Oryzias latipes: one gene and its partner. The protein of the gene in region 1 purifies or fractionates together with the protein of each later gene. This does not show direct contact. Links are inferred from orthologs where the notes say so. Each region holds a gene or a part of one and is shown on either strand. Other genes may lie near its edges.

Region 1 (10,098 bases):
CTGGTGGTTGTTAGACGAATTGCAGGGCAGGTTTTAGTCCATATAGAGATGGACATCAAAATTAGGCAATAGTAAACTAAACAATAGTTAACTAAAATAATTTTAGAAATAATTAAAATTATAAATAGTCGTTTTATTATTAGATTAAGTAACCCTTGTGCTATCCTATCCAGTCAAGATGACCATTGATGTGTTCTCCCCACCATGACAAAGGTGAAGAGGATTTCATGTAATCCATGGAGGTTCACAAATCTTTGAAGAAAAAAGGTTCAACGCACTGTCTAGTGGGTCTAGATGACCCAACTCCCAATGTTAAAGTGCCTAGGATAGCACAAGGGTTAAATAGAATTTAAACAAAATGAGACTATGGAGCCTTTAAAAAGGAATGTGAAAGGTATAAAAAAAAGTACTACTTTTTTTGTTTTACTTTTAAGTCCCTTTGGGGGCTCCGTAGCATACCATCTATTAAAATACATATTTGATCTTTAATCCTGGATAACCCCGAGAACAATTTTCTTCTTGGATTTTGATCTGAATATGGTTTGTTTTTAATCATCTGTGTTCCCTTTGGTTAGCAACAGTTAATCCCTTGATTCCTGAATTCATTTCTTGGCTATGAAAGACAATGTTTACCTATTTTACTGCATTCATGTAGATGCTAAATTAAGGTAATTTTGGAGTCAGAGTGGTTTGATGCATATTTGCAACATAAGTGTCCAGGTGTCAACAGCAGCCCAAAAAAGTAAAATAAATAAATAAATAAGGCCTTTAGGTTCTCCCGGATTACGATGAAGTGGATTTGGGGAAAAAAAAGATCCCAAAACAAAATCTTCAGGTTTCAACCCTTCTCGTGTGTGAAATGAACAGGAATGCAGATGAACTGGGACACCAGATCGAGCGTCTTTTAATCATTCATTCATTTGAAGATGCTAACAGAACATCCATCATCACATCTGATGGTGAGCGCGTCTCATCAGGAACACTGGATGTAGAAGTGCAGAGGAAAACACTTTTAGGAGCTAAAAGGCTTCTTTTTTTTTTTGCAAGTTTGTAGTGAACATCAGAGAGAAATTGAAGGAAGAAAAATATGAAAAAGAAAAGTTTGTTTTAATCGTCGTCAAAGTTCTGCTGTAGAAGGAAGTTGGCCGCCAAGTTCTCGTTCTTCTCGCATGCAAAGTAGGCCTGAATGACGAGTCCCTCAGGAAATCCCAGGGCTTTCAGCTGCAAAACCGAAACAGAAACAGAATTCTCCGCTTACCATCACTGCAGGAGAGTCGGGAAACATTTAAACCTGCGCTGAACCTTCAGCAAAAAAAGAAAAAAACTCCTGATATTTGGTGAGACTTATGATCTAAAGTGGGTCAACGTTACCAATCACAGAACTATTCTCCGCCTCACCCTCTCGATGGCCTCCTTCTCCTGCGGTGTGACCTGGATGTAGCTCATCTGACTTTCTCCGGAAGTGTCAGCTCCTGTGCCTCCAGCCCCCCTCGCTCCTCCTCCTCCACCACCACCGCCACCTCCTCCTCCTCCTCCTCCTGGCACTGGATCAGGATTTGGCTCATTCAGCATCTGGATAAACTGCTCCTGGTGGTTGCTGATCTCCTGCAGAAGCAAATGACAGACTCGAAGAATGGAGCATCAAAAATCCGATAGAGACTAAAAATGATTTGACATAATATGAGTTAAACAGTTCTGCTGCAGATTCTCATGGAAGCTTCACAATAAAAGCTTTAAAAACATTTTATTATGATTAGTCTGTGTTCATTCATACCACATCGCTGTCATTGAAGCCACTTTAAAGCAAGTCATGCGTTTTAAATAAAGTTTTTCTATGAAAAAAAACTGCCTTTTCTCATTTTGTTTATTCTATTTATTCCAGAGGGGTTTTTTTTAGCATCAGAGTGTGAGGATTGGAATGAATGTATATCTATCCACACATACATCTAACTTAGAATTATTAGTCATCAATTGATTGGAAAATAAAAGAATTAAAATGTAATAGATTTGTGCATGCAGATGAAGAAGGCATCAGCAGACGCTTTTTTCCCAGGATGAGGTCAGAGGCTGCTATGGCTTCAACTGGCCACCAGATGTCGCCATTTTTCGTTGCATTGAAACCTTAAAATCAGATTTCTGAGAAAAAAACAATTCCTGTTTTTTTGTTTTCTGATACACATTTTTATGTTTGTTCTTCTTAATGTTCTTGTTTTTCATCCTCTTCTTCTGTGGTTCTCCGTCTGGTGCGACGTTTTCATAGTATTTCCTTTAGCAACTATGTTAGTAATGCTAGCGAGTTGCTTCACTGAAAATGGGAACCAAGGGAGAATTCGACAAATTTACAGATGGTTTCCCTCCTAAAATAGCTTCTTTTTTTCTTTTCTTCACATTGTGTTTCTTTTCTTTGCTTTGTTTTTCTGTTTTTAAACTTAGCCAGATGTTCCTGAACATTCCTGTTCATGGAAGCCTGCTTTGTTGGATTTGTTGTTGGGCTGGTGGAGGTCTGCTCCTCACCTGCAGCAGCTCCGGGTTCTCTCTGCCGATCTCCTGCAGGAGCGCTGGGAGCAGCGCGGCGTTCTGCTGGATCAGCTGCCGCATGACGTGGAACTGAGGCTGGTTTCTGAGGAAGCCCAGAGGATTTCCTGATGGTCCAGAAAGTGGAAGCAAATATTGCTTTTATTAGGGCGTCAAAAGAAAGGAAAAAAAAAGAAATGTGGTTGTCGTACCCCCTCCTGCACTCGGTGAGGACTCGGTGCTGGTGGGAGCGGCGGTGCCCCCTGCAGGCGCAGCTGGAGATTCGCTCACTGCAGGCGTGGAATCGGGTCCGGTTCTGGAGCCTTGATCTTGACCCGGGATACCCTAGGGGTGACACCGACAATAACTCCACCTTTTCGTGTGGAAGACAGCACCCTGGCTTTGGATTGGCTGTGGGAGGGTTGGGGGCGTGTCTTACAGAGAGCAGGTACTCCACGGCTCTGTCGGGGTTGTTGTAGCTGGCCCTCAGAGCGGCCACCACCTGCTCCCTCTCATAGCCCATCAGCATCATCTCGTTCACCATGGTGTCGTAGGACGAACCCGTCACTGGGAAGACAAACCAACAGTTTAAACGGCCAGTTCACCTCTCAGCTCGCCGCCCACACCGCAGCAGGCTCACCCAGAGTGGAAACGGCTTCGCTGAGCAGGTCTGTCGAAGACTCTGAGCTCCTGAAAGAGGATCAAACAGCGGTGAGGTCGGATGCCTCAGAGCGAGAACCACAAACACGGAGGCGCCTTTTACCTGGCGGGAGGCGGCGGTGGCGGCGGCTCGGCTGTGGAAGACTCTTTCTCTTCCAGCTTGTCAGCAGGTGCTACTTCTGCAGGTTTGTCTGCAACAGATGGTGGGGTGGGGGCCGCTGCAGCAGCCGCAGAGCTGGGAGCCGATGAAGGAGCTGATGAAGAGGCTGACGAAGACTTTGGGCTGGGCGCAGCAGTTTTAGGCTACAAAATAAAAGCATGTTCCCCAAACTTTGTGAGGTAAAATGGTACTTTAAATGTTTGATGACTTTTTGAAACTCCTAAATTCGGGTTTGTTTTAATCAAAAACAGTTTAAAGATCATGTAACATTTGCTTTAGGAAGCAGCAACAAAACCCTTTTATCCCTTGACAAAGTTTCAAAATAAAACCAATCTGCATTCTTGCTTATTTTTGTCTGAATAATAATGAGAACTTAATGGTTTTTCATAAACTTGCTGTGCAGCCTCAAACATTTTATTGATATTAAATTTCTTCCCATCCTTTTTGCATTATTGTGTTTAGAATAAAGATTTAAACTTGTCTTTTGGCAGCTAAAATAAAGTTGTCGCCTTTTCTTTTTTTTTTGTAGCGGTGGGTGCTGCCCTCCCACATCCCCTCAGCAGCAAAGGAAAAAAACGGCTGCTCTGCATCGAGATTCGCTATAAGTTACAATCACGATTGGAACAAAAAAACACACACACAATACCGCTAAATGAGACTCCATCCTAAAACAGGAAGTGAATTTTGTTTCTTTTAACAGATCTGAAATCTGTTAGCATCTGTCCGCATGAAAGCACAGCAGCTAAAACAAAAAAATGATCTTAAAAAACAAAAGTTTGAATCTCCAAATTGTATTCCTCCCCTTCAATTCCACCCGCCAAAATAAAAGCATAGAGGAACTTCTAAACAAGTGTGATGACATAAGACCACCTCTGCTTTTAGTGAAATTATTCCAATCTTTGATATTTTAGGGGGTGAATTAAAGAAAGTTGCTTTTGTGGAGGTTTTAGGAGCTCAGCATCAGACAGGTGTGCAGCCCCGCACACCAGCAGAGGCGGTTGACACTCAGACACGGTGTGAAAAAAAAGAGGAGAAAGTCACCAAAGGGATTCGCTTACGAATAAAGGAACAAAACGGAGGGATATAAAGGTTCCAAGCAAGCTTGCAATTCACCAGCGGTTTGTAATTCACCGACCTTTGTCACCATGACGACCACAAAGTTCTTCTCATCGATTTTGTATTCTTTGAGGGCCGTGTCGTCGCTGAGGATTTTTCCTGGAAAGAAGCAGAAAAGGATTTCTGAGGGATGGACGACATCCGTCTGGGTTTTACTCGCTCTGAAAACTAGAAAACGAGGATCTGTGCCGGTCACACAAATGATGGTCATTTACACAAAATCTGTTTTTAAAAGTTAATTTCTAAGCATTTATCTTTATTCTCAACCAAAATCTTTTGTTGACTCCTATTTTTCATGATATTCACTTCAACTGCAGCGCTCTACCCATTAAAGCAGAAAAGCATAAACACATCTGTCAATCATTGACTTAAAAAAACCCATAATAATCCGGCATAAAGCAGTAAATTGAAGCCCAGTCCCGTTCTGTTGATGATTTGGATCAAATGAGGCTGAAAAACAAGCAACTACTGAGCCACAAATGCATCAATCGAATCAAGAAAGTTCTTTTAAAAGCATAAGAAGCTACAGAAGTGGTTCGCTAACCTCCATCTGTCTTCTCACCAATGAATCATGGGAAAACTGTATTTTTTGGAAAGGATTGGTGTGGAAGCTTTACGTTTTGGTGCTTTTTTTGTGCTCATGTGAGCTCTAAAGGTGACACAATGATTTCTGTACTCAACTTGGAGTCCAAATGTGCACAGACGCGCAAGCCTGTTTCCCATTGTCGATCCCCATCAGTTAGGGGGGGAGGGGGCTGTGTGTAGGTCTGGGGAGGGGGTTCTATTTTAATTTTCGTGCTTGTTTTTATATTATTTATTTGGTTTTTCTTTAATGTAAAGCACTTGTAGGAAAAGCACTTTCTAAATAATGTTCGATTTGATTCAATGCTTCCTGGGTGAAGCTGATTTGAACATAGAATTTGCCGGACCCGGGTTAGCCTAACATAGGATCCAGTTGGATCCCTTCACCCTGATGTAAAACATAAAGTGCAGGTATCTAGCGATTTTATTTTATTCTGAAGTCAAAACTAAACTATGTTTGTAACGACAGTCAGAATTTTAACACTTTTTTGCCCACATTGACAAAAAAACTATTCTTCTAGAATACAAACAGAAGCAGCAGACATCGTCATCGCCTTAAATCAATCATTTTACATAACGTCAGCAATCAATTTGTAGTCTTTTTAAAGTTTCTTTTCAGCGTCTTTGAGGCTGTAACATGCATGTCAAAATAAAAGCACAGTTCGCTTTAAGACACATTTAAAATATTGAGGAACAGAACCTAAAATAACTATTTTATGGGTTTTGGTGAAACTTTATGTACCAAAAAGTACTTGTGTGTCAACAAAAGTGTGTTTGCAGCGTATCATCATTCTTGTGGTCACTATTAAACAACACAGCAAAGAAATACATAATTTAAGACAAATGACATCAAATTAAATGCATTTTTAAATATTTTAGGCTGAAAATTCTAGATTTCTGGACTTTATAGACCCGACAGTTTAAGATCTGAAGCAATTTTGTGTCAAATATGCAGAGAAATATACAAAAAAAACTTTTAGGCAAATCAAAGAGTACAGATCTTTCCGGATCTTAACCTGCCAGGACTATGGATGCAAACTGATCAGAACCGGTCTAAACATCACGTGAGTACTCAGAGGAAGAAAGAGGCAGGGAGGGACCCATCATACCGGCGTAGATCAGCTTCTGCCCGGCCACTGAAAAGCTCTCCTTCCCCTTTTCCTGCTCAATCCTCTCCTTTAACGTCTTCACCTGCAGAAGAAACAACAACACTGACAACAATGACTAGCAGTAAACAACAATACACACAGTGAGATGACTCAGCACTTCTGGAGCCATAAGGTCCAAGTTTCTGTTGTTAAGAAGGAAACCTCCTCTAAAATCTAGCTACAGACATCAACCATTGAATCTTAGCTGTTAGCAACAGATTTAGAGGAATAACGCGCATGTCCTTAAAGTTTATCGAAAGTAAAAGTTCGGAGTAAAAGATCTCTGTCATAAATGTTTAGGAACAGTGCGAAGGCTGGCGTGTAAATAGAAACAACTTTACTATCGTCATTACATTTAAGCACAGACAACAACATTTTGCCTGAGTTTTTGTATGTTATTTTAAATCAAAAGAGTATTATTTTGCTAGCGTAATGACTCTAGTCAATATGTTTTTAACAAAAACAAACAAAAAAACATTTACTGCTGTTTTAGTTGCTCCACATAAACAACTCCCGCTCGCGCATATTTCTCACCGTTTCTTCCTCATCGATGTCGATTTTGAAGGTCTGCTGTTGCAAAGTCTTTAAAGTTATCAGCATGTTGTAGGTCGGTTTACTTCTGGCTCCAATTTTAAAAAAATCTGTAAATCTAACTTGAAAGAAATCGCTTTTTTCCGTTGGCTCATTACAAACTGTCAGCCGCCATGATTTTTCGGTTCTCTTCTTCTGTGGCGGTAAAACCGGGTAACCCCCCCCCCTCATGAAAAAACACACTAGCGCCCCTGGTGGCTACACGTTGAACTTAATCAAATAATCTGCTGGACAATAAATCCAAATCAGTTGGTCCCACCACGGTTAAATTGATTTGATTGTGGAGGATATTCTATATATATTTTTCTTCATTATATTCTATATGTTTTTTTCAATATATATACACATTTTCACATAAAAATTAATCAAAACAGAATGTTATTTTTTCCTAACACTCTGAATAAGTAAGTAATACTGAAAAGTAATACCACAGATTTCATGTCATTTAAACATTAAACACACAGCTGTTTAAACAAAATTAAATTAAATAGGATTTAAAAAGTAAAATAGCATAACAATAACAATAAAAAAAATATATACAGCACAAATATTGGAGCAAATAATTAGCACTTTGACACTAAATTATTTTTTAAATTCACGTATTAAATGGTGTAGGCTGCACAATTGTATAGTGGTTAGCACTCTTGCCCCACTGGGAGAGGTTCAAATCCCTGCTGGAACCTTGCTGTGTGGATTTTGTATGTTCTCCCTGTGCATACACAGGTTTCCTCTTGGAAACCTACCGTGCCTCAATCCAAATGGTATTTGCAAATATCGAAATAATCAATTTAGTTATTTTTAAAATGATTCTATAATTTGAATAACAACTTGGCTCAAACCGATTGATCTGGTAGGTCGTGGGAATAAAAATTGATTCATGGCTTAAGCCGATTAATCTATACGCCCCTAAACGCAACCCACAGTGTTGTAAACAAATGTTTAGGAAACATTTGGTGGATCATAAAGTTATGGTGCTTATCATCACACTGTGAGATTTAACCCTTGTGCTATCTTAGATGACCCCACCCTTACATTGACGTGTTCTCCCTACCATGACAAAGGTGGATAAAGGTGGAAAGATTTCATGTAATCCATGGACACCAGTGAAGATCACAAATCACTGAAGAAAAAAGGTTCAGAGCACTGTCTAGTGGGTCTAGATGACCCAACTCCCAATAGTAAAGTGCCTAGGATAGCACAAGGGTTACAGGTGTTGTCTACGTTATTCGTGAGCCTCCATGGGAGGCTAAGACACAGGAGTGTGATGGAGGCCTGGATCCCCCCACCCACCCACTACCACCACCCACAGGATCTGCAGCTCTTGTCGAGGAGCGTGACGCCAGGAGAAACCTTGAGAAGTCTCGTCTACGGCCCAATAAGTCTGAGCTATTTTTGTAACATGAGAGGAGCTCCAAATCAGGAAGGTGGTTTTGATGTTGTGCCTGAGTAGAAATCTTTTTTTTTTTACTTTAAGACAACAAGAAATTCTGTTGAAGGGTTGCATCAAACAGCCAGATCTTTGCTGCTTTGACTCATTGAGGCCTTCAGAAAGACATTTTGCTTCCTTCTCTGCACCCCCTCTTTCATCTTTGGCTCTCGCTCCATCCCCTCATCTTTAGAGCAGCTTTGCCCACACCGGCCTTGGCCCGGGCTCTCATCAGACATTCCTCACGTAGCTCCCCTCTGGAGCGGCGCTGTCCTCCTCTCCCCTCCCTCGTCACCGTGACTGCGCCTCTCGCTTCTGTCTCCAGGCGTCGTCAGCATGCCACCGGCCCCCTCTGATGCAGTGAGCCGCAGAGATTACAATCTGATCCCTGGTGACTTGGAGATATTTTTAAGAGATGATGTTAGACAAGTGAAATAAAGACTGAGCACAGCTAAAGACGACAGCAGAGGAAGTGTGGAGGATGGAGGCTTTTGGAAAAGCCGGCAGTCGTTGAAGACTGGCTGATGAGGCTGCGGGTTTGTGTGAAAGGAGCTGCGATTTCTGGTCAGCAGAGCTTCTGCAGGGTTTGGAGTGGAGTGCAGAGAAAACGGAGGGGTGTAGCAGACAGTGAAGGTCACAGGGGTGCCTTCTCAGCTCAAAGCTATTTCCTGCTAACAAGAAGGTGCAGAGACTGTTACCGATTTGAACAGATGCTCTGCAGTCACTTGTGCAGGAATTCATTCTGTGAAAACTTGTGACAGAGCATCATCTCAGCTCTGCATCTACAAGGTCCAAAATGTCCCTGATCTTCATCCGAAAACACCAGGATTATGACTTTATGCAATCATTGCTGGCATATGACAGTGTCTGAAGGCAGACACTAACATGAGTCAGCAGATTCTCTCAAGAAAAACCCTAAGGGGCAGCTGAGGGTTACTCAAAGGGCAACTAAAATCTTATTAAAGACCCTCTCCAATGAAATAGGCATTTTTAACATGTTTTGTGGAATTTTTTTAAGGATTGAGTACATATATAAAGAAAAAAAAGAGCTCAAAGTATATCTTTATTCAAATCGTTGGGATTCAGGATCAGAGGAAAAAATGCCGTTGGAAAAATCCTGTAGCAGCGACGCAGGAGCTACAGTGGACACAAGCATCCACTTCCAGATACACAGATCCATGGATTTCCTCGTCTGAGCTGGCATCTGGAACAAAATTGTACATCTGGAAAGCTCCCACATTTTTGTTACCGTTAAAGTTAGCTTGGGATTGGAAAAGAGGTTTTCCTCAGGGGATTTTTAAAAATGGCAGAAAATCAATAAGTGGATTTATAATTGCTTTGGTCAAAGAATAGGATTTTAAAATAAAATAAAAGCTTTTTTTTTTAACCCAAGAGTTTTTTCTAATGTGTTAAATATTCTTATCACCACAGTGGACATCAATATCAATATATATATATATATATATATATATATATATATATATATATATATATATATATATATATATATATATATATATATATATATATATATATATATTTAAATAGTTTTTTCCGTATTTCTTTAATATTTAACTTTATGATATTCTTTCTTTGCAGAACTTTGGTGACCTGCTGTCTGTAAAAATGATCAGATATACAATTTGTTTGGGAGTTTTGCTCTTTTTGCAGTTTGAGAAAACGCTAAAAGATATGAAAAAAATGCACCTGTTAATTTTTAATAAGTCCAAATCCGATGATTCTTTAGTCTATCTCACAATTAGTCTATTCTTTTACTCAAATATACAATAGTTTGATGTTTACATTAGAAAAGCGGTTGCACGGTGGCGCAGTGGTTAGCGCTCTTGCCTCACAGCAAGAAGGCCCCCGGTTCAAGTCCCGGCTGGGGGACATGAAAAACA
Region 2 (10,098 bases), on another chromosome or scaffold:
ACCCTGAGAAGTTAAAGGCAGCCCAGAAGGCCAGAGAAAAGCAAAAGAAGAAGAGTAAAGAGAGCTCTCCACTCACAGTTGCTGCTACGGTGGGTCCTTCAGGCTCAGCGTGTCATCTATGTCTGAGGAAATATCCGCTGTTTCTCAAAATAAAAGAATGAACTCTTTCAATGACACATCGGGAAGCATTTGACTCCATGTTTGTAGCGGAAGCTCCTCTCCATGTCATGTCTGTGGTTGGTTCCAGTACAAGGATGAGGCTGTGATCCATGAGGTTCTGCCTCAGAGCAGCCAGGTGGAGGAGGGTGTCAATGGCCATCTGGAAGACGAGCACAGCGAGACAACTTCGGAGGTGGTGGTCTTCCTGGAGCCGCTCAGCGCCGTCCACTCCATCATCCTGGACTGGACCACCAACAGCTTCATAGACTCTGTGGGGGCTAAAGCCATCAAACAGGTTCTTCTCTTTTCTTTGAAAGGGGGCGGGGTATCATGATGACTTGCACTTTGGTACTTCATGTTTGGTCGATTTCACTCCAAAGACTCGCCCTGTCTGCAGGTCATTAGGGAGTATGCAGCTGTGGACGTTCGGGTGGTCATTGCCAGCTGTAACAGTAAGTGGTCATGAAGACTCGTTTTTTTAAGACGTAGAACTTGTTGAAAGTCGTACACGTTAAAATTAGCGGCTCTGGGCTACAAACTCGGTTCTTAGAGCAGATGTGTGTTATAAAAATAATCATAAAGATCTCAAGCTGTGGTTTCAGTGCAGTTCAGGAAATGTTGAAAACCACTTTCTTGATAACAGAAAAGTGAAGTCTGTGGTGACCAAATTTACCAGATAATAACGTTTTATCAATTTAAGTGTGAGGAGGCGGGTTTAACCCTCTGGTGCATAGTGGTCACTACACTGCACAGATCTTTAACCCTTGTGCTATCTTAAGATGACCCCACCCTTACATTGACGTGTTCTCCCTACCATGACAAAGGTGGAAAGATTTCATGTAATTCATGGACACCAGTGACGATCACAAATCATTGAAGAAAAAAGGTTCAGAGCACTGTCTAGTGGGTCTAGATGACCCAACTCCCAATGGTAAAGTGCCTAGGATAGCACAAGAGTTACTGCAAAGGTTCCTGTGGATGAAGCCTGTACCAATCACTAGAGTGCTCTCTGCTGCCTTAGTCCCATGAGTTTATTGCAGTGGTCAGTCAGTGTAACTGCAAGTAAATGTACTGGTTTTCTGTTCCTGAAGGGAGCACGCTGGCTGACCTGGACATGCTGCAGTTCTTCTCAGAGGATCTGACCCCTCACCTGTTCTTCCCCACCATCCATGATGCTGTTCTGCACTGCCAGCACTCAAGGTCCAGCACAGATGGTGCTGCAAAGAAACTCACTTAAGAGCAGACTCCCCCATCACCACCTCAGTCACCTCAACCAGGACAGTGATTGGGCTCGCTGACAGCAGAAAAACTCAACTGTGTTCATATTGAACAGCGAGCATCAGTAGCCCATTAAAGATTATGCTTCTTCCAAAGTCAGCAGCCTTATCAGACTGGAAATATGGGGACCAGCATGCTGAAAGAGGAATCTGAAGACTTGGAAATGCATCTGAAGCTCCAGGTTCTCACTGCCCTGCAGAAACTTCAAGCTGCTTTTGAAAGAGCCATTCCTGGAAGAAATGTATCTGCTCATTGCTATGGTCAATTATGTCTTCATCTAGGTTCTATGCAGTGGTGTTCTGAGGCTGGACAATTAAAACAGCTCTGTTTGTAATCTTGGTTACATGAAGTGAAACTTTATTTTTGTCAAAACATTTGTCTGAAAAACTAATTTTAGTTTTGTTAAAAATGCTGCTGGAGAACACAAGATGCCTTTTGAGAAAATGTTATTCAGGAACTCAGATCTAAATGTGGAATAAACTTTATTTTTCGGTGACAACAAAAGCATTGACTGTTTCTTTAGCAGTAGACCAGGAGTCCTCAGTTGTATGTCATGTATCTGGGGGTGGCGCTGAACTTTGCGTAGGATTTGATGACCTTGTTTACAGCCTCCAGGAAGTCCTTCTCTGTAGCGATCTTCCTGCGAGCTCTGATGGCAAACATGCCGGCCTCTGTGCACACACTGCGGATCTCAGCACCTGATTGAAAAGATTGTTTTAAACAGAGAATGTTATTTGCTTTTTAAAGTAGTTTTCCCAACAACACAGGCCTATTGTGTTGAATACACTGTAATCTTGTGACCACAATTCAGCTTTGGTGAACAAAGTAGAAAAAAAAAACTTTTTTATGTTTATAACCTACAACAGAAACAGCCATGAGTAAGTGGGGAACAATGAAGGTAAAGGAGCTTTGGTCTTACCAGTGCTGTTGGGGCACAGACGGGCCAGAAGCTCAAAGCGGATGTCTCTTTCCACACTCATGGAGCGGGCGTGGATCTTGAAAATATGAGTGCGACCCTAAAAGATGCACAAAACAGACCGTGATTACACTTTACCAACAACTTTTCTGAGTATCCCTGTAAGGAAAACTCACTTCCAGGTCAGGAAGGCTGAACTCGATCTTCCTATCCAGGCGCCCAGGTCTCATCAGAGCCGGGTCCAAAGTGTCCGGTCTATTGGTGGCCATGAGCACTTTGATGTTGCCTCGTGGGTCGAAACCATCCAGCTGGTTGATAAGCTCAAGCATGGTCCTCTGGACCTCATTGTCCCCCCCAGCCCCATCATCAAAACGAGCACCTGGGAGAAAGATTTCATATTTTCTTTTTTTGCTAAAAGGCCAGTAAGAAACAAAGCTCTTCTCCTTTCAGGACGACTGATGACAAAAACTTCCTTCACCTCTGACCTGCACAGAAGCAATGTTTCTAAAATAACATCTAGTTTGGTAAACAACACTTTAGGTAATTTGAAAGATTCTGTTCTTCCAGAAAGATTTCTCACTCTGAGGAATGTGGTTGTTTTTGGACATAAATACAGTAAAATTATGGATCTATAAAAAAGTTTTTGATCAATTGAGCAATAAAACATGAAACAAAAAAGAAATTTGGGAAGGACTACTATTTTGATAAAAAAATCTTATTTTCAAACCCTGAATAATGTGGATCCTTTTTAAAATGTTTCCTTTGAATGAAATTTTCTGGACACTGCATTTCTGCACATAACATTTCCTTTTAGCTACAACATTGCATTACATCAGCTGGTTAACACACAGGGTAAACATGTTAAAATATATACATTTTGTTTCATTTCCTTGAAGTTTAAACATGTGCCGTCAAACAAAACATGTCACGTTTCTCCATCTGTGCTCAAGTAAAGGTTTTAACCAATCAGCATCCTTAAGAAGCGTGAACCATCGACCACATGACTACATGGCATGAGGCCTCTCAGTGAGGTCATAAACGCATCAATCTCACCTCCAATGGCATCAATCTCATCAAAAAAGATCAGGCAAGCTTTTTTGGTTCTTGCCATCTCAAACAGCTCCCGAACCATCCTGGCTCCCTGCGGTTACAGACGACACGGCGTGAACGTTGATGGAAGCAAAATATACTCTTTCGTCACAAGCGAGCTCACCTCTCCCACATATTTTTGAACCAACTCAGAACCGATGACTCGAATGAAGCAGGCATCAGTTCTGTTGGCCACGGCTCGGGCACACAGGGTCTTCCCCGTGCCAGGTGGCCCGAACAGAAGCACACCTTTAGGAGGCTCGATGCCCAGGCTGACAAACCTTTCAGGCTGATGAAAAAAAAAAGAGAGAACAAAGGACTGAAGCTGTGTTCATTTTCCCCAAACAGTGCAGGTGATCTGGATGCTGAAAACTCACATGGAGCAGTGGAGTTTCAACCACTTCTCTCAGCTTCTCAATCTGCTCCTTGCAGCCACCAACATCACTGTAGGTTACATCAGGCTTCTCTTCCACCTGCACCACAGAGTTAGCACAAACTAAGAAATGAGTCATTTTGCTTTGATCTTTAAGAAAAACCATGAATCTGTACACTTTTATCTGAAGACTAGCCTTGTTTACCAACAAAACACTTTTAAATCACTTTTTTTTAGGCTTTTGGAATTTCTTTCACACTTTTTATTTTGATTCGTTTTGACAAGGACAAAATCTTTACAAATAAGAAGAGCTTAGAATGTACCTATATATCAAGTCTATCTTATTTATGAAACAAACCACCTTGACAACAAAAATAAATTACATTTTGGATCAAACCATTTTTGTCACTCCGGTGGCTAGATTGAACATCTAGTGATTCATATTTTATTGATATAATTCTCATATGTAAATTTAACTAGTCCAACTGTTAGCTTTACGATAGCTGCAACAAGTGGCAAATGTGTTTAAAAAAAGATAGCTAACTGGCTTCTAATTTGCCATAACAAAAAGGATAGGTCACATGAGGGTGTGTCCAACTCTGGTGTTTATGCACTTTATGGCTTTGACCTAAGAACTTTTTCCTCTACTAAAGAACAGGTCATGAATTTTGAATATGATGTTAATTTTTCCAGAGGAGTGTTGGGAACAAGTTCATCAAAATATTTAGAAAAATATGTATAATATGGCCCAATGTTCTTTGCATTTTGTTCCATGTTTTGCATGCATTTCTGTTCAGCCACTCTGGGAACATGAATAAAACAACAATCAAGCGCACACATGTTTTTATCCAAACTCTGCCACTGCGTACCTGCATCATAGTTACAGTGGGGTCAATCTTGGGAGGTAAAGGAATATGGATCTGATACTTGTTCCTGTCAACCCTGCAACAACAAGTACAAATGTGTGCTAGAGACATATAAATCGGCTTGTGATTGACATGTCATGATCATATGAGACTCACCCAACTCTCATGCCTTCCTCAATGTCAGTTGGAGCCACCTGATCACTCAAATCCACCACAAACTTAGCAAACTGTTTGACATTGATGATATATTTAGGGTCTTCAGAGTCTGCGTTGATGATCTTAGTGCATCTAAAACACATTTATCATAAAGATTTTTAGAAGAGGAAGAAAGACTAAATGAAATTTTAAAAAAAGTGACACAGGGTCTTTAAAACTAAAAAGGCAGGCTGTTTTACCTTGCCACTTGTAAAGGCTGCTCACTCTGCAGAGTCTGTTTGTCAGCAGCCAGATCCCAAAGTGCCGGTGGAGCCAAGCCTGTGTCAGACTCTTTGATGCCTGACAAATTCAAAATCACAAATAAACTGCATGTTATGTTGCAAATATCATACAATGTTTTTATTGAGAGATCGTTCTCTTTCTTATTTTATTCCTCTAAATATTCTATCATTTTTATCTTAACTACTAGTTGAACATTTTGTGCGTCTATTAAACTTGTTTAATGTGTTTTAATATTATTGTTGGTATAAAGTTGACAAAGTCCATTTTTTGTCTAGGACTGGTGGAAACCTGTATCTACTGTTGTTTTTTATTAAATGAGACTTTAAAGTACAATAAACACAACAAATAAATAAACAAAATGATGTTCACAAATAAAGAACGAAATAAATGTTCATTTAAAAATTACAATGATTAATTAAACCATTAACAAATATTAATTATACACAGATAAGGCCCTGTGTAATTAACAGCACATGTTAGATGTTTTGGAGTTTAAGTCAGAGAGGTCAGACTGAGATGATTGGGACATGTCCAGAGGAGAGACAGTGAATTTGTTGGGAGAAGGATCCTGAGTCTAGAGATGACAGGCAAAAGGTTAAGAAGAAGATCAAAGAGAGGGTTTCAGGATGCAGGGAAGGAAGACATGAATGTAGCTGGTGTTAGAGGAGAGGATGCAGAAGACAGGGATGGACAGAGGAAGTTGGTTGGCTGTGGTCGAAAGGAAAAGAAGAAGAGGATATATCTTAACTGGATCATAAAATAAATCAAATGTAATCACTGGGTATATCTAATGAAATCGATGTAGTTTATTTCCTGTCCTAAATACCTTTTTATTTATTATGCCCTTTTTATTCTACTGAAAAATTGCACTGTAATTTTGTTGAACATGTACAATGACAATAAAGATATTTCAATATTTGGTAAAACACCTGGGAATGACCAGGTTCCATGTTCACCCACCTGTAAGCTCGTTGATCTTCTTGAGAAGCTGCTGAATGTCATCCTCTACCTGTTTGATCTGTCTGGAGTAGGTGCTTTGACCCTGGCAAAGCCACGACAAACTTTGGTCAATATTTGACGTTTAGAATAAAACTAAAAATAAATGAATAAAATTAAAATAAAATAATTTAAGAAAGAAAAAAAAAAACAACTCTGAAATTTGACCACTTTGAGAAAAACTTACGTATGTTTTGAGCAGTGCGATGTCGCCTTCATCCAAAGCTACCAGAAAAAAATAAAAAACAGGAATATGACTTCGCTATTTCAGCCGGCAGTTAGCATTGATTGCTACAACACTGGTCATCATGTTAAAAATAAGAAACATTTTTATCTGTTCACTATAAACACATTGTTTTTGATTAAAAATAAAAAATGGGCCATCATTGGAACAACCTAAAACTATTGCGTTGTTTTAAAATAGAGGAAAAAACGAGAGCTAAGAGACAATTAGCTTGTTTGTCGACATGACATCCGACAGTATTGTTGTTGAGATTATAATATTGGTTTTGTATAAACCTCGAATGGGTGCGTCATCTTTTTCTTCTTCCTTGGTTTTCCGTTGATCTTCTCCCAAATAATCAGGCATGTTTAAAGTTGATACAAACGAACGCTTTTGTCACGTATGCTGGGCTATTTCTACTGCCAGACCGAGCGATTACACAGCAACTTTACACTTCCGCCGCTACCCGGAAGTCCAGAAGGGACTCGAATTGATGGGACACTCTCTCTAAAAACAGTTTTCTCAAAAAGTCCTCGGTGTTTCGATCAATGTATATACTGCTAAAAAATAATTCCGCTATATAACGTTATTATTTGTATGTATGTATGAAAAAAGGGGCTACTCAAAGAAGTTGTGGCGGAACCAAAAAGGCGGAACTATAATAGCGACTCAGAAGTCACTGAGCTCCTTCGATTTGCGTGCACACCGGGAGGAGGCCCATGTGGTCCGTCAATGAGCGACCCTTAAACTTTAGCACTTCGGACTACTTTACCAACGCTGGGAAGTGTATGTTTGAGACGGTTATGTTATGAAGATGCTGCTAGAAGCAAAGAATACCGAGGAGACCGCGGTGCTAAAGGCGGTTGCCGGTAAGTAGTGGAGGCCGCCGGGTCGCAGCTAATATCATATCGGTCTTTATGGACCTACTCTTACGCAGTTGTTCAAAAAAGCTTAAGAAATCAAACAAATGTTTAAATTCTTAAACGTTGTGAGTTATAACGTTGGGATTATTATTTAGATGACTTGTTGGTGGCATGATCTGACAGTGCCACACAAATTCACGGGCTCTAAACATTGAAGGGGTAAGGGTAGAATTCCTAATCCAAGTTTCCATTCTCCTCTGAAGTAACACATTTTTAGCTAACCCAAAAATTTAAATGATTTTTAAAAAATTACAAATTCTAAAATGGTAAAGTCCCATATGGTATTAAAATGCTTATTATGTAAAGTACATCCTCTGTAAACCAGACTGCTGTGACCATATTAGCTGTAATAATATTAGCAAACCTTACTGATTCTGGAATAACACTTTTCACTAATGAACCACAGTTGGACTTGATACTGTAATCAGAATAACTTTTTTGACCTTGTTGTCACAATCGAATTGAAATATTTTACAACTAACTTTTTGGGAAAATAATAAGTTTGAAGTTAGAGATTAATCTCCAGTAAAAAGAGGCATTAGTGCACTTTTTTGAAGGACTGATGATGTAGTGTTTGATTACATTCTAATCTTTGTTATGCAGGATCACTAAATTACTATAAAAATTGCATGGTGGTGTAGTGGTTGGGGCTCTTTCCTCACAGCATGAATTTTCATGTCCTGAAACAGAACATCAATGGGGACCTTTCTGTGTTGAGTTTGCATGTTTTCCCCATGCATGCATGGGTTTTCTCCGGAGACCCTGGCTTCCTCCGACCGTCCAAAACATGGTTGATAGGTTAATTGAGGCAAGGGACTCTAAATTGTCCTTAGGTAGGAATGTGCATGGGTGCGTGATTTGTGGCCCTGCGACAGACGGGCAAACTTTCCAGGATGTCCCCTGCCCTCGCCCACGAGTGGCTGGGATAGGTTCCGGCAGCCACGTGACACCGTAAGGGACAAAACGGGTTCAGAAGATGAATGAAAGAATGGTATAGCCAAAATCTTGACCATTTGTCAACATGAAATGTAGAAAAACAGATCTGACATCAATGGGATTCAGGTGAGAACAGAGAAAACTAGGTGGTACCATATCACAAAAAAGTGATGCAATCACATGAACAAGGATTAGGAGAAGCATTTTATGGGAGTACTTCATTAGTTTTATGTCTGTCCATCAAAAAGCTAGGTACAAATCCAGCAGAAATTTTTTTCCGAATACCCCTTGTGTGGGACATATTTTATTTTAACAACAATGGTTATAAATCTTTTGACAAACTAGAGGTATGTCCCCTATTGTGATCTAGGCCAAACCTTATTCATTTCAATCATATTTTAAAAAACATTTTTAATTTGTGTTGGACCGGATGGAAAAGAAAAGGAGGGAGGAAGGGAGAAGGATGTTGGGGGGTGGGGGTGGGGGGGTCATGAAACAGCATAGAGCAACTACTTGCTGGATTGTGATAATCATTATGGTCAGGTTCAAATATAATACAAATCTAGAAGGGCCGGGGCCTGTCCACACCCAATTGTTATAAACATATCTGCTGGCTCCAAAAATGTCCACATGTCAACATGTACACAGTACAAACCACCTAGTGTGAAATATTCATTTAATCACGCAAACTATTTGTGCAAAAATGAGCTAACACCTGTGCTCGAGTGAGTGTTTATGTTCATCTAAAGTGGATAATGCAATGTAAAAAGAAGGGGGAATGCCCAACAATTCCCACACCAAGGCTCCTGCCACAGGGGTCCCCTCCCCAAAGCCCAAGAGCAGGGAGGCATGAGGGGACAGAGAGTGCAAGCTCCAGCCCAACCAGAAGAGACTGCCCCAGACGAGCACCCCACCACCACCCAGGAGTTCCCCCTGCCCCAACCCCAGGGACGAGCCAGGGTCCGCCAAGGAAGACCCGGCCCACGCTCCAGGCAGCCATCCACCTCGCCCACGGTTGGACGCCCTAGAGAAGTGGGGGTCCACAAGGAGTGTTGTAAACATGGCCCGACCAGGCTCACCTGCAGTTGGAATTTTTGCGATCCCCGGCTTTAGGTCTTGCCAGAGAACTCAGGGATCCCTCTCCCTGCGTGGAGAGAGGGTTGCCGGGCCCAGGAAGCCAGCACCCAAGGGACACGGCTGCCGTCACTGAGGGCCTCGTACCCCCCTCCAGGGATGGGGTAGGGGTCAGATAGTCCAAGGTCCCACCTTCCTTGTGAAATGTATGTGTGTGTGTTTGTGAGGGTGTGTGTGCATGTATGTGTGTGTGTTGGAGTGTATAGTTTGAGGGGTAAAAGGTGTGTAGGATAAGTCGGGGAGAGCTAGTAGACTGTCCGCTGGTAGTCAAACAGCCCCGGGGTCCCATTCCCCGAAGCGCCGACCCCCCCAGGCCCCACACCACCCACCCCCAGAGCAAGCCGGGGGGGAGGGGGGGGTGCTCACTTCTCTTATACAATGTGTGGTTTTTCTGTAGGCTGGAAATTATTTAAAAAAAAAAAAGCAGTTTTCACTCATGTGATGCGGAGCATTAACAGCTGTCTTTCGACCCACAGCTTCTGTCCTTGTTCAGGTGGAGCCGGTGGGTCGATGGTTTGAAGCGTATCTAAGGAGAAGAAACAGGAATGTGTCGGCTTCCTTCCAGGAGTTGGAGGATGAAGAGGAGTCTTCAGAGGAGTCGGAAGATGAGGAGCTTCTGCTGGAGGAGCATCCCATGCTGCGAACGCTCGACCCCAAAGACTGGAAGGTATCAGTGATGTGTTTATAAATAAATTTACATTTTCTCACAGTTTATTTTATTAGATGAAGCACCACTCGGTTTGGCCCAGCTTCATAACATGAAAAAA

The links.
Region 2: the proteins of rad23b (region 1) and psmc2 purify together in Homo sapiens (affinity purification with mass spectrometry; 6 studies listed by BioGRID and IntAct, with this or other methods). This does not show direct contact. The link is inferred for Oryzias latipes from reciprocal best matches to the Homo sapiens genes RAD23B and PSMC2.

Annotation. Positions count from the first base shown.
Region 1 is NC_019870.2:9,287,487-9,297,584, reverse strand, and holds rad23b (UV excision repair protein RAD23 homolog B), read right to left. Parts: upstream 6,926-10,098; 5' UTR 6,781-6,925; coding exon 6,715-6,780; intron 6,224-6,714; coding exon 6,142-6,223; intron 4,550-6,141; coding exon 4,470-4,549; intron 3,478-4,469; coding exon 3,278-3,477; intron 3,205-3,277; coding exon 3,155-3,204; intron 3,082-3,154; coding exon 2,954-3,081; intron 2,860-2,953; coding exon 2,727-2,859; intron 2,643-2,726; coding exon 2,515-2,642; intron 1,606-2,514; coding exon 1,399-1,605; intron 1,222-1,398; coding exon 1,108-1,221; 3' UTR 877-1,107; downstream 1-876. UniProt on the Homo sapiens protein: Multiubiquitin chain receptor involved in modulation of proteasomal degradation. Binds to polyubiquitin chains.
Region 2 is NC_019881.2:9,537,791-9,547,888, forward strand, and holds psmc2 (26S proteasome regulatory subunit 7), read right to left. Parts: upstream 6,819-10,098; 5' UTR 6,705-6,818; coding exon 6,635-6,704; intron 6,341-6,634; coding exon 6,303-6,340; intron 6,162-6,302; coding exon 6,080-6,161; intron 5,177-6,079; coding exon 5,077-5,176; intron 4,970-5,076; coding exon 4,838-4,969; intron 4,758-4,837; coding exon 4,685-4,757; intron 3,916-4,684; coding exon 3,820-3,915; intron 3,732-3,819; coding exon 3,567-3,731; intron 3,495-3,566; coding exon 3,407-3,494; intron 2,733-3,406; coding exon 2,530-2,732; intron 2,454-2,529; coding exon 2,357-2,453; intron 2,136-2,356; coding exon 1,978-2,135; 3' UTR 1,901-1,977; downstream 1-1,900. Other genes in the region: slc26a5 (prestin), read left to right, coding at 1-89, 248-454, 557-611, 1,251-1,396; dnajc2 (dnaJ homolog subfamily C member 2), read left to right, coding at 7,147-7,207, 9,808-9,998.